2 linked regions of the Arabidopsis thaliana genome follow. The protein of the gene in region 1 binds, or shares a complex with, the protein of each later gene. Each region holds a gene or a part of one and is shown in the gene's direction. Other genes may lie near its edges.

Region 1 (8,159 bases):
CCTCTATTTATCGAATGCGACTATTTTTTGGCTGGTTGATGTCAGTAACCCCATAATCTTCTCATTTCTAAATTCGTGGTTTTAGTTCCCCCAAAGTCCTAATAATAATAAGGCATTTAAAATGAGATTTTCTCCAACCAAATCACTCTCAATTCTTCGATCTCATTACATTCTGGTCTAAAGCTTCGGGGTCATTCACACCACTAATCGGAAACGAACCAAATAAAATAAGACAGTTTGCTTTTAAACAGCTACTAATTAGTATATCATTACCATTCATCCGCATAACAAAACTCTGGTTTTCACTTCTTGGCAAAAGAGACGACCATTGGATTCTGCGGAGTGATCTTGAAACCCTGAAGAGCCTGCATGGCCATGGAAGACTGAACATCGTCTTCATACTCCACAAACGCAATTCCGGGTTTTGCTTCGATCATTCTTATCTCTTTGAATCCTGGGTATTGCTCAAAGAGCAGCTGAAGCATCATACTATTCGTCTCAATGGGAAGATTATGAATGAAGAGTATGTTGTTTGGTGGCATCGTGTCTTGCCCACTCGGCTGGAAAGGAGGCTGTGAAATTACAGAGACGGGTATTAGGAAACAAGGATTTACAGACTAAGTTGCGATAATGACGTCTGTCAGAAGATAATATTGTATTGTTGGAATGATGCGAGAAAGAGAAATTGCCACAGGCATTCCGTTCTGAGTAGTTGCGCCATTAGGCATGCTTGGTTGTTGAGTTTCTTCAGCATGTCGCTTCCTTTCAACTGAAAGTGATGTGCAGTTTTGTTAAACATCAGATGCGAAGTAAAACACAGATGAAATGAGCTGAAAAGATCTGAACTTGTGATGGAAACGAAAGTTTAAACCTTTCTCTTCTTGCTTCATCTTCTTTTCTTTTGGAACAAAAGACCCTTCGGCTTTAGTAACATAATCTGACTTTGATTTTGCATATTGTATCCGCTGCACCCACAGAGATCACACATCACGATTTGAATAATAATATTGCATTTAGCTTTTTCTAGTCTTTTACTTAGTAATCACTTGTGTAATGATATACCCTCAACATCTAATGTCGTTGTACTTCCTTCAATTTTATATAACAACAAGTATCAGCAAGCAAACTCAATTTTCCCTCCAAGTAAATCTCTGCAACTTTCTAAGCTTATAGTCTCACATAACAAGATAAAATCATTTTTCGGTAGCGGGATAGATAAACCTGGAACATAAGAGAGGAAAAAGGTACCATAGGCTTATCATAGAAAGGAAAGTTCTGCATCTGACGGACAGCGTTGCTAGCAGCGGTGACTTCAGTAAAAACAACCCATGCTTGTCCCCGGAGCTTAGGAGTCTTTAACGCAACCACATCAAGTAATCTTCCAAACTGAGAGAACAAACAGTAAAGAGACCTCTTCAGCTCTGAAAAAAACAAGTGGAAACATTAAACAATGATCTGCTTGAACAGCATTACTCTTAGACAAACAAAAGCAGCAGCTAAAGAACTTAAGGTCATTGACTTCAATCAAACAATCTAAACAAATTTCATGGCAAAAGCAATCGCCTTTCCTACTTAATTACTTAAATAAAGCACCTTTGTTAGAGTATCTCTAGTTCAGGTCTATTAAGATTAGACAGAAATTCTAAATCCCTAATACTTAGAAAGATAACTCTAAATGCATCTAATCTAACCTTCGTAAACATCAAATTAAGCAACTTTAAACTCAGACAACTCATTCAAGAGAAGCTCACACAAGCATTACCAAGCTACTTAAGCATTGCAAAAACTCTTAGAAAATCACCGATGCAATTATATGAATTTCGTAAGCATTACCTTCTTTCTTGATCTTCTCATTGATATGTTTTATGTAGATTGACTGATTTGGTGGTATATCAGCCGTTAACATCTTTCAACTGAGCTCCGCGAAGACGACGATGGTCGATGGTCACAGCCCTGAGAAAATTTAGCGAGCCCTAAGAGCCAAGAAGAGAGAAGAAATCGTGGCGTTTCCAATTTACACAAGGCGTCTAATTTGTTTTTTTATGTAAACATCTTACCGTTACCGAAGAGTAAAACAACACGTAGTTTTATAATATTATTAAAAAACGTCTGGACGTTCGAAAGGGGATTTTGATGTTTTGTTAGGCCCTATCTCTTTCCCCTTTTCTTCGTTCGCATCTCTATCTTCTTCCGTTGTCTACTGTTTTTCGTTAAACCCTACGATTCTTCTTTTTTTCAACGACTGCTCGGATCTTTCTCAGTAGAGGGAACCATGAATCCCTCACTCGTCACCGCCATTAACGCTCCAATTTCACCTTCTCCTCGGTCTCCTCTTCTTTCTCACTTCCTACCTACTTTACCTCACCGTTTCTCCAAGTCTGAGTGTCTATCTCGCCGTCGTTATCGAGTTTCGTTCCCTCGTAGCTCAGCTGCTTCCTCCGACCAACTATCAGTATCTACGCAGGCGAAGAATCCCGGTATCCATGGGAATAAGAAGGAGCTCACTGGATTGCAACCGATTGTTGAGAAAATGACACCGCCGGTGAGGCTAGCGACTTCAGCTGTTGTATTAGCGGCGTCTTTAGCTACTGGTTACGGCCTTGGGCTCCGTTTAGCCGGCTCCAGGAATATTGCCTTTGGTGGGGCTGCTGTTGCTGGAGCCGCCGGTGGAGCTGTCGTATATGCGTTGAACTCTGCTGTACCGGAGGTAGCTGCTATCAGTTTGCATAATTATGTTGCCGAATTCGAAGATCCTGCCTCTGTGACGAAAGATGATGTAGAAAAGATCGCTGATAGGTGAGTGCTTCATTTAATTGTCAATTTGTGTCTGGGATTTATAAACAAAAGTTTGCTTAAACGATCCTTCTTATATGTTGCAGGTACGGTGTCAACAAAGGAGACGAAGCATTCCAGGCTGAGATTTGTGATATTTATTGCCGGTGAGTCAACAAAGGATACTGTGTTCATCTTTTCTCTTAGTGTGGGGAATTCATTAGTAATCTTTGCATCTTAATCTTGATTTAGGTATGTAACTTCCGTGCTTCCAACTGAAGGACAGTCTCTTAAAGGGGATGAAGTGGCGAAGATAGTCAAGTTCAAAAATGCTTTAGGGATAGACGAACCTGATGCAGCTGCCATGCACATGGAGGTGCTTTCTAGATTCTTAATCTTCATTTGAATTAGCCGTTAGCCTTTTTGTAGTTGATGCAGAAGGATCTTGATTGCTGAATCACCAATTCCTTGGTTTTGTTTAGATTGGTCGCAGGATTTTTAGGCAAAGGCTTGAGACTGGGGAGCGTGAAGGTGATGCAGAACAGCGTCGGGTGAGTCGCCAGTCCCTAGTATTTGTTAAGTTTATTGTAGGATTGTTCGAAAGAGAGCACAAGCGTGATCACAAGTTGTATGCTTCCAGTGCAGGCATTTATGAGGCTTGTATATGTTTCAGCTCTTGTGTTTGGAGATGCTTCATCCTTCCTTCTACCTTGGAAGCGAGTATTGAAGGTCACAGATGCTCAGGTAGGCATTTCCAATTTTTTTCATACTTCTGATTTTGCGCAATAGTTGTTTTATGGAAGTTTCATTTTGGCAACTCACTCCTTCTTGGTAATCTGAAGTTCTGTGCTAATGTCTTGACCTCATTTCTAGGTTGAGATTGCTATTCGTGAAAATGCAAAGCAGCTGTATGCCGAACGGTTAAAATTAGTTGGTAGAGGTAATGTTGTTCATGTTTTACATTTTGAGATGGGAAGTAATGTTACATTTGTAGAACGGGTTTGAGTTTGCTTGACTTGGTTATATTGATTATTGTGGCACTTCTTTGTCCATTGGGTTTTGTAATATTCGTTTATCAGCAAGTTGTCTGAATACCAACCTTAATTGTTACTTCGCATGCGACTGTAATGGTCCCTTCTCATTTAACATTGATAATAGATATGGCTTTTTGACAACCAAAAAAAGATATGACTTAGCTTTTTCGTCAGCTTAATGCATGGAAACTTACATGGTTATGTTTCTAAACATGTTCTTGCAGATATTAACGTAGAAAACCTTGTGGACCTTAGAAAATCACAACTATCATTCAAGCTCTCTGATGAGGTACTCTATTTCTTTGTGGCATTGACTTCCTGCTATCTCTGGTTGTACTTCTTCTGACAGTTTCTTCTCCCTCATAGCTTGCTGAAGACCTGTTTAGAGAGCATACGAGAAAAGTAGTCGTAGAGAACATTTCATCGGCACTCAGCATACTCAAATCCCGCACACGAGCAGCGTAAATCATTTTAACATATTGCTTACAGAATCATGCATAGAAAAATCGTATAGAATAATCATTATCCATGTGAACAGTTTGGTTACACATTTAACTTTTTTATTTCTTATACCAATGAGTTATGACTTTAGCTGGGTATATGTATTCCTTTGCTTGAACATTGAGTTTGGTCGGGTTGAAAAAAGAGATTGAAGTTTTGGCTTTAGTTTTGAGTTTTGGTTATTGCAAAAACTGATTGGTCATATGATCTCTTTTGCTTTTGTGAATTGTCTTATAGTATAAGTATTTAAAAAAAAGTCATGAGATTTTAATTTTATAGGCGTTTTTGTATCTTGTGATAATTAATAGTGGAAACAAATTGGATCATCTAGTATGTCTAGTTTATAGTAGTTTACAATGCATGTCATTTTAACGACCTGATTTTTTCCAGGAAGAGTTTGGCATCTGTCGTGGAAGAGCTTGAAAAAGTACTGGAGTTTAACAACCTGCTAGTTTCCTTGAAAAGTCATTCAGAGGCAGATCAATTTGCACGCGGGGTTGGCCCTATTTCTTTGATAGGTGAAGATGCTTTTGACCTTCTCTTTTCTGAAGAAAAATTATTGGCTCTCAACCTTGGATCTATGTGGCTTAGGTGATGAGTCTGATTTTGAGAGGAGAATGGATGATTTAAAGCTCCTTTATAGAGCATATGTTACAGATGCTTTATCTGGTGGGCGCTTAGAAGAAAATAAGGTATACTCAGTTTTGTATAAGATATTATGTACTAAAGCTTAGTTGCAAGTTTTTTTGAGAGTAAGTGTTTTCAGATGCTGTGTCCTCTATCCCAGTCGCATGTTTTTTTCCATTTCTAATTGTCTTTCTACTGTATGGTAGCTCGTGGCAATGAGCCAACTTAGAAACATACTCGGTCTGGGAAAACGAGAGGCTGAAGCTATTAGTGTTGATGTTACGTCCAAGTCTTACCGTAAAAGACTTGCTAACGCTGTTTCTAGTGGTGACCTTGAAGCACAAGACAGTAAAGCAAAATACCTTCAAAAGCTCTGCGAAGAGCTGCACTTTGATGCACAGAAGGCAGGCGCAATCCATGAAGGTATAAGCCGAACCTTCTGTTCACAATGAAATCTTATGTTTTTATGTTATGCATGAGGTATACAGTTGGAATTGCCACATAATCGCCCAAATGTAAGATGTGTCCATGGGTATCAATTTAGTTGATGGCTTGTAAACTTGCGGGTTCCTTATCCTTTTAAGCTAGCTTTTAGTGTTGTAGATTTGGTTCTTAACAGACTTCTAACAAGTCTGGTGTTTCAGTGGGTTACATGCTGTTATTTTACAGTTTGAGTATCTATTTGGTCTTTTTTTCCCAATCATCTGACAAGCACCTTCTCTTCCTCAGAAATCTATCGGCAGAAGCTTCAACAGTGTGTTACTGATGGAGAGCTGAGCGATGACAATGTTGCTGCTTTATTAAGGTTAAGAGTTATGTTGTGTATTCCCCAGCAAACTGTTGATACAGCTCATGCAGAAATCTGTGGAACCATATTTGAAAAGGTAATCCAGTTATCACCTCCCTTTTCCCTTTATCAAGGGTTTTTTCATGGTCTTGGGTCTTGGCACTGCAATTTCCCTCTGCTTCCCTCTCTGCCTTCGCATTTTGTTACCAAAAGGTTTTACCTCTAATTACCTTTTTGTTTAATCTTTCCAGGTTGTCAGGGATGCCATTTCTTCTGGAGTGGATGGTTATGATGCTGAAACTCGCAAATCAGTTAGAAAGGCTGCACATGGTCTTCGGTTATCCAGAGAGACTGCCATGTCTATTGCTAGCAAAGCTGTGAGTATCACACTATTTACTTTCTCCATGCTTGGTATTAGGATTTGTTAAAATTTTCTGACTTCTCATAGCAAGACATGAAAATCAAATCCCTTCATTGATGCAGGTCCGTAGGGTTTTCACAAACTATATCAGACGAGCAAGAGCAGCCGAGAACCGTACTGATTCAGCAAAGGAGCTCAAGAAGATGATTGCTTTCAACACGTTGGTTGTGACTGAAATGGTGGCTGATATCAAGGGAGAATCTTCTGATAAGGCACCTGAGGAGGACCCTGTTCAAGAGAAAGAAGAAGATGATGAAGATGAAGAATGGGGATCCCTTGAATCGCTCAGAAAGACAAGACCCGACAAGGAACTCGCTGAGAAAATGGGAAAGCCTGGCCAGACTGAGATAACTCTCAAAGATGACCTTCCCGACAGGGACAGAATAGATCTCTACAAAACATACTTGCTCTACTGTGTAACTGGAGAGGTAACAAGAATCCCTTTTGGCGCCCAGATCACAACAAAGAGAGACGATTCAGAGTACTTGCTTCTAAATCAGCTTGGTGGGATTCTCGGATTGAGTTCGAAAGAAATAGTCAACATTCACGTAGGTTTAGCCGAGCAGGCTTTTAGGCAACAAGCTGAAGTGATTTTAGCTGATGGGCAATTGACAAAGGCTAGAGTAGAGCAGCTAGACGAGTTGCAAAAACAAGTTGGTTTGCCTCAGCCACAAGCCGAGAAGGTTATCAAGAATATAACCACCACAAAAATGGCAAACGCGATAGAGACCGCTGTTAACCAAGGAAGACTGAACATAAAGCAGATACGGGAGCTCAAGGAGGCAAATGTCAGCCTGGACAGCATGATCGCTGTGAGTCTGAGAGAGAAATTATTCAAGAAGACAGTGAGTGACATCTTCTCATCAGGAACTGGTGAATTCGATGAAACCGAAGTCTACCAGACAATCCCATCCGATCTCAGTATTGATGTGGAAAAAGCCAAAAGAGTTGTCCATGATCTCGCTCAGAGTAGATTATCGAATTCGCTGGTCCAAGCCGTGGCATTACTCAGGCAGAGAAACTCTAAAGGAGTGGTATGCAAATCATCTTTTCCCTCTCTTATCGTGACAGAAAACATGGATATTTCAGCTTCTGGGTCTAAATTGTGTATGTATGTATGCTTTTTTTTTTTGGTTTTACAGGTCTTGTCGCTGAATGATTTGCTTGCATGTGACAAAGCTGTGCCGGCTGAGCCAATGTCATGGGAGGTCTCAGAGGAATTATCTGATCTATATGCTATTTATTCAAAGAGTGATCCCAAACCCGCACCGGAAAAAGTTTTGAGGCTACAATATCTGCTGGGAATAGATGATTCAACTGCAACTGCCCTCCGTGAAATGGAAGATGGAGCATTATCTTCTGCTGCAGAAGAGGGCAATTTCGTCTTTTAAATCTTTGGAGAAATCACTTGAGTTATTATGTATTGTGTTACGGCCGAGGGTGGAAAAATGATTTTGAATTTGAAATTTGACCAAAGTCTGTGAAAATTTTGTATCAGAACCATAAACTTGATATGATTAATTTGAAAATCTGCAAACGAGAAGTGTATCCCTTATACAATTTAGAGCGCAGCTTTGAAGTGCTCATGTGGTGTCACGTGACGGGTGTTCCCGCATAACGAACCTAAAAAATAGAATAACAGTTAATTCAATCATTGAGAACTTTTTTTTTAATGAAATGATTTGACCGTAACACCGTAAGTGAAAGTTAATTGTTAATTCTATGGTGGTCTCACATGACTGCACACAACTAGAACAATACTCAACAATCAACATGTATACTAGATCTGATCTCGTTATAGTATGTTTTTGTCGAAATTTCTAATTATACAAAAGCACGTCTTTTAAAGACAAAAATAGAAGCCATATGATCCAATCAATTGATTCATAGAGATGATGATATGAATCGATGAAACATAGTTTTTAGAAATTATTTCCAAGATTACAAAAAAAGAAAAAAAAGAAGTGAAAATTAATAAGAAAATAGGAGAGAGTTAAATATAAGAAAAAAGGCAGAA
Region 2 (3,569 bases), on another chromosome or scaffold:
TAATCTTATGTTAACACTCACTAAAAAAAATGGGAGTATATATAAAATTATTAATGATGAGTGTCAATCTTAGTTTTATCCGATGGAAAAAGGTTGTTAAGTAATTTTAATGTATTTATAAATAAAAAAACTGACGAAACTTTGTGACTCGTAAAAGAAATTTTTTGGTAAAGAAATTGACAATGAACAATTGTTGTTTGGGTCTATGATCATCATCACATTCAGTACAAATCCTATTTACGATAACAATAACCACAACAAGTAGAAGAGCAAAAAAGAAAAAGAAGGACAAACACTAGATTTGGTCACAAGCTTATGTTTGTGTTTTTAACAAGCTTGGTCAATTTCGCAACTAAGAACACCTACTGATGGATGTGTGGTCTTGAGAAGTGAAGCTGGTCGAGCTACCATACTCGAAAATTTCGCGTAGCTCGGAGAATCCTCTTTCCCTGACGGTGTAAAGAAAGCTCCGTTAACCATTTCGTCTCCTTCTGATTTCCAGTTCCATTCCTTCCATTCTTCGTCTCCATCTGCACTCTCTCGCTTTGTAACCTGCGTATAGGGCATGTGAGTTTAGAAGTATGGAGCAAACATTTCCGTCTAGAATCTAATCCATATAGTAAGACACATGAAAATCAAATTTCTAAATGATTAGTCGACTATGAATTAGATTGTACTAATTGTGAGGTTAAAACGCTCTTAGTTTTGTGGAGCACATGTCACGAACGTACCTCCTTGGTGAACTGATTATTGGAAGCTATGAAAACATTTCCTTGGCTAAAGATCGTTGGATTAGCACTTCCACCAATAGCATACATCTTCCAGTCTCTATAAATGTTATTCACTATGTGAAAATATCCATGCCTACACCTACACATTGGTATTTTAAGCACGAATATTTTGGTTAGCTTATAAATTTGACATTAAAAAAAGAAGAAAAAGAAATATAAGATTGTACTAACCTTGGCATTCTTTGGACAAGTCCTTCACCAAAATAGTTAAACGCGATCGTAACTCGCATATCCCGATCACCGGAATACTCATCACTATGGCCCAAAAGCATGACTTCATTATGATTCAACATGTAACTATTCGAAATCGTTATATCCGTGGATCCATTCACCGCATCAATAAGCCCATCGTAACATTTCTCTAACGTACAATGATCAATCCAAATATCTCGAGACTCGAATATCGATATTCCATCTCCATCCGAGTATCCTCCCAACGACGATAAAGCATTCCGTTTCACGGGAACACAATCGTGAATATAAAGATTGTTTATAATAATGTTACTAACTTTATATAAAGTTAAACACGGTCCATAAGCTATTTGTACGTTATTTCCTCTACCATCAATGGTTTTGTATGAAGCTACTTGAAGATCTTGTTTTAGTTGTATTACCATGTCTCGATCAAAAATGATCCATAGAGGTTGATCTTGTGTCGCAGCGTACCGTAATGTACCTGGAGTTGGATTTAGAGGATTGTCGTCTCCTGAATCAGTCACCGTGTAGAACTCCCCGGCTCTACCGCCAATTGAGTCGCGTCCGAATCCAACCGCGCAATCCGCGAGGTTTTTGCGGTTGTCCTTCCAGTTTTCGTCGCATCTCCAACACTCATCGATTGGATTTCCATTGGCTGAGCAAGAAGACGCTGTTGAATTTGATGTCACTGTCGTTGATAGTCTCCTTACTATTGGCGGTTTAGGAATCGCAAATGCAAACGCAAAAGAAGTGTTTAAGAGAAACAAGAAAAACGTACATACAATTGACATTATATGTTGTCTTAAAAAGAGATTAAAACCAACTAACAATTTCACTATGAACATTATGTTTATAATTTGCTCCAATATATATATGCAAGAGACATTGAAGTGCACTAAAAAATAAATACGGAGGTAATTAAATTAGGTGAAAATTGAAAGAATTGGGTCCAATACAAAGGCATTACGCCGTTTTATACCGGTGGATTTTGATATTTAAATATACACAAAAAACAAAGACAATAACAGAGGCTATTTAATTGTTACCTTACTTCAAATAACTACGTACCGTTTTATCATATTAGAAAGATAAGAAGACGACACAATGTTTTAAGCTAAACTTTTAAAACAGAGTGGAGTTTAGTTTATTATCCTCTCATCATGTGTTAAGCAGTCTTTCAGTTTTGTGTGAAGTGAAACAAAAACAGAGCAAAATGGCAATAATATCTCAGTTTTTTGCTCCATTACCATCTCTCACCGGAACCCTAACCCTAACCGGTCGTTCTTTTCTCCCTCTAAACCTTGATACCCAATTCCCAAAACCTAGACTTTCCAGGGACAGAGCCGCCACACTCGTACTCCAATCCAAGGGTGATGATTCCGTCGATGCATCGGATCGGATAATCTCAGCCGTCTGTTACTTCTACCCATTCTTCGATGGGATTCAATACGGCAAATTCATCATCACACAGTACCAACCTTTTCAGATTCTCATCCAACCTTTGTTTCCCGCCATCAGAGCTTTCAAGAGCTTCCCTTTCAATGGGTTTCTTATCTTCATCACTCTCTACTTCGTCGTTGTGAGGAACCCTAATTTCAGCAGGTACGTCAGGTTCAACACGATGCAGGCGATTGTGCTTGATGTGTTGTTGATTTTCCCGGATTTGCTTGAGAGGAGCTTTAATCCTAGAGATGGGTTTGGTTTAGATGTGGTGATGAGTTTGGACAGCACAGTGTTCCTCTTCTTGCTTGTCTCTTTGATCTATGGATTCTCTGCTTGCTTGTTTGGTCTGACCCCGAGGTTGCCTCTTGTTGCCGAGGCTGCTGATAGGCAAGTCCTTTGATTCAATAATATCTTTGTATGTAACACATTTGCTGTGATTAAACCTTCTGTATTGGATCGCTTTCTGATAATCAAAACATACAATGTAACTTTTTGATCCAATGAAAAAGGTTTCTGCAAGACTTTTGCAATAGAGATAGAACAAAATGAAGAATAGAAACAGAGAGAGATTTTATCATATAACAATTTTTGATTTGATTAGTTCTCCTCATCACATATCTGAAAAAGCAATATGGTGAGGAAAGATCGATTCTGTAACAAAAGACAAACACACCAATGGGTGGTGAGTGTGTTTACATATCTGCACTCATCTGTCTAATGAAAGGGACAAAGTTGTTCCAGTTCTCGACCCTAAAGATCTTCTCATTCATTCTGCAAAACGTAAATGATCTTAGAGTGTCGCCATTCGGTTGCACACAGTTCTCTCGTATTTGCCTTAGTCCCATCTGTTGCAGAATTCATATAGAAAATGGTTAATAACCACCACTTTGACCTCAGACGTATAAGACTAAAGCATGTGCAAATAACTCACCTCATCAAATCTTTCGCTTGTGTTTCTACCAGTCACATGTATTGTCCACTTCTTCGAAACATCATGTATCTAGCAAAAGAAAATGTGATAATGCTGATTTGTTCATGTTCTTATAAGGCATGCTTAATTGTCTAATGTAGCAGCGCAGTAAGAACACAGAGACTAGACTAGTTTGAAGTGTCTCTACGGAAGTAAATAGTGCTTCAACA

The links.
Region 2: TIC110 (region 1) and Tic20-V share a complex: the UniProt entries of both Arabidopsis thaliana proteins name them as parts of the tic complex.

What each region holds. Positions count from the first base shown.
Region 1 is NC_003070.9:2,129,677-2,137,835, reverse strand, and holds TIC110 (translocon at the inner envelope membrane of chloroplasts 110), read left to right. Parts: upstream 1-2,132; 5' UTR 2,133-2,272; coding exon 2,273-2,796; intron 2,797-2,879; coding exon 2,880-2,939; intron 2,940-3,024; coding exon 3,025-3,148; intron 3,149-3,254; coding exon 3,255-3,323; intron 3,324-3,417; coding exon 3,418-3,516; intron 3,517-3,645; coding exon 3,646-3,712; intron 3,713-4,030; coding exon 4,031-4,095; intron 4,096-4,172; coding exon 4,173-4,267; intron 4,268-4,697; coding exon 4,698-4,825; intron 4,826-4,898; coding exon 4,899-4,999; intron 5,000-5,140; coding exon 5,141-5,357; intron 5,358-5,663; coding exon 5,664-5,818; intron 5,819-5,972; coding exon 5,973-6,098; intron 6,099-6,204; coding exon 6,205-7,176; intron 7,177-7,284; coding exon 7,285-7,533; 3' UTR 7,534-7,783; downstream 7,784-8,159. Other genes in the region: AT1G06960 (RNA-binding (RRM/RBD/RNP motifs) family protein), read right to left, coding at 303-572, 690-769, 872-965, 1,249-1,421, 1,834-1,906. UniProt on the Arabidopsis thaliana protein: Involved in protein precursor import into chloroplasts. Forms a voltage-dependent cation-selective channel at the inner envelope of chloroplasts, which specifically responds to a transit peptide.
Region 2 is NC_003076.8:22,554,255-22,557,823, reverse strand, and holds Tic20-V (TIC 20-v-like protein), read left to right. Parts: upstream 1-2,173; 5' UTR 2,174-2,199; coding exon 2,200-2,829; 3' UTR 2,830-2,946; downstream 2,947-3,569. Other genes in the region: AT5G55720 (Pectin lyase-like superfamily protein), read right to left, coding at 328-552, 732-870, 963-1,777; BAM4 (beta-amylase 4), read right to left, coding at 3,122-3,274, 3,361-3,429. UniProt on the Arabidopsis thaliana protein: May be involved in protein precursor import into chloroplasts. Not redundant with TIC20-I, TIC20-II or TIC20-IV.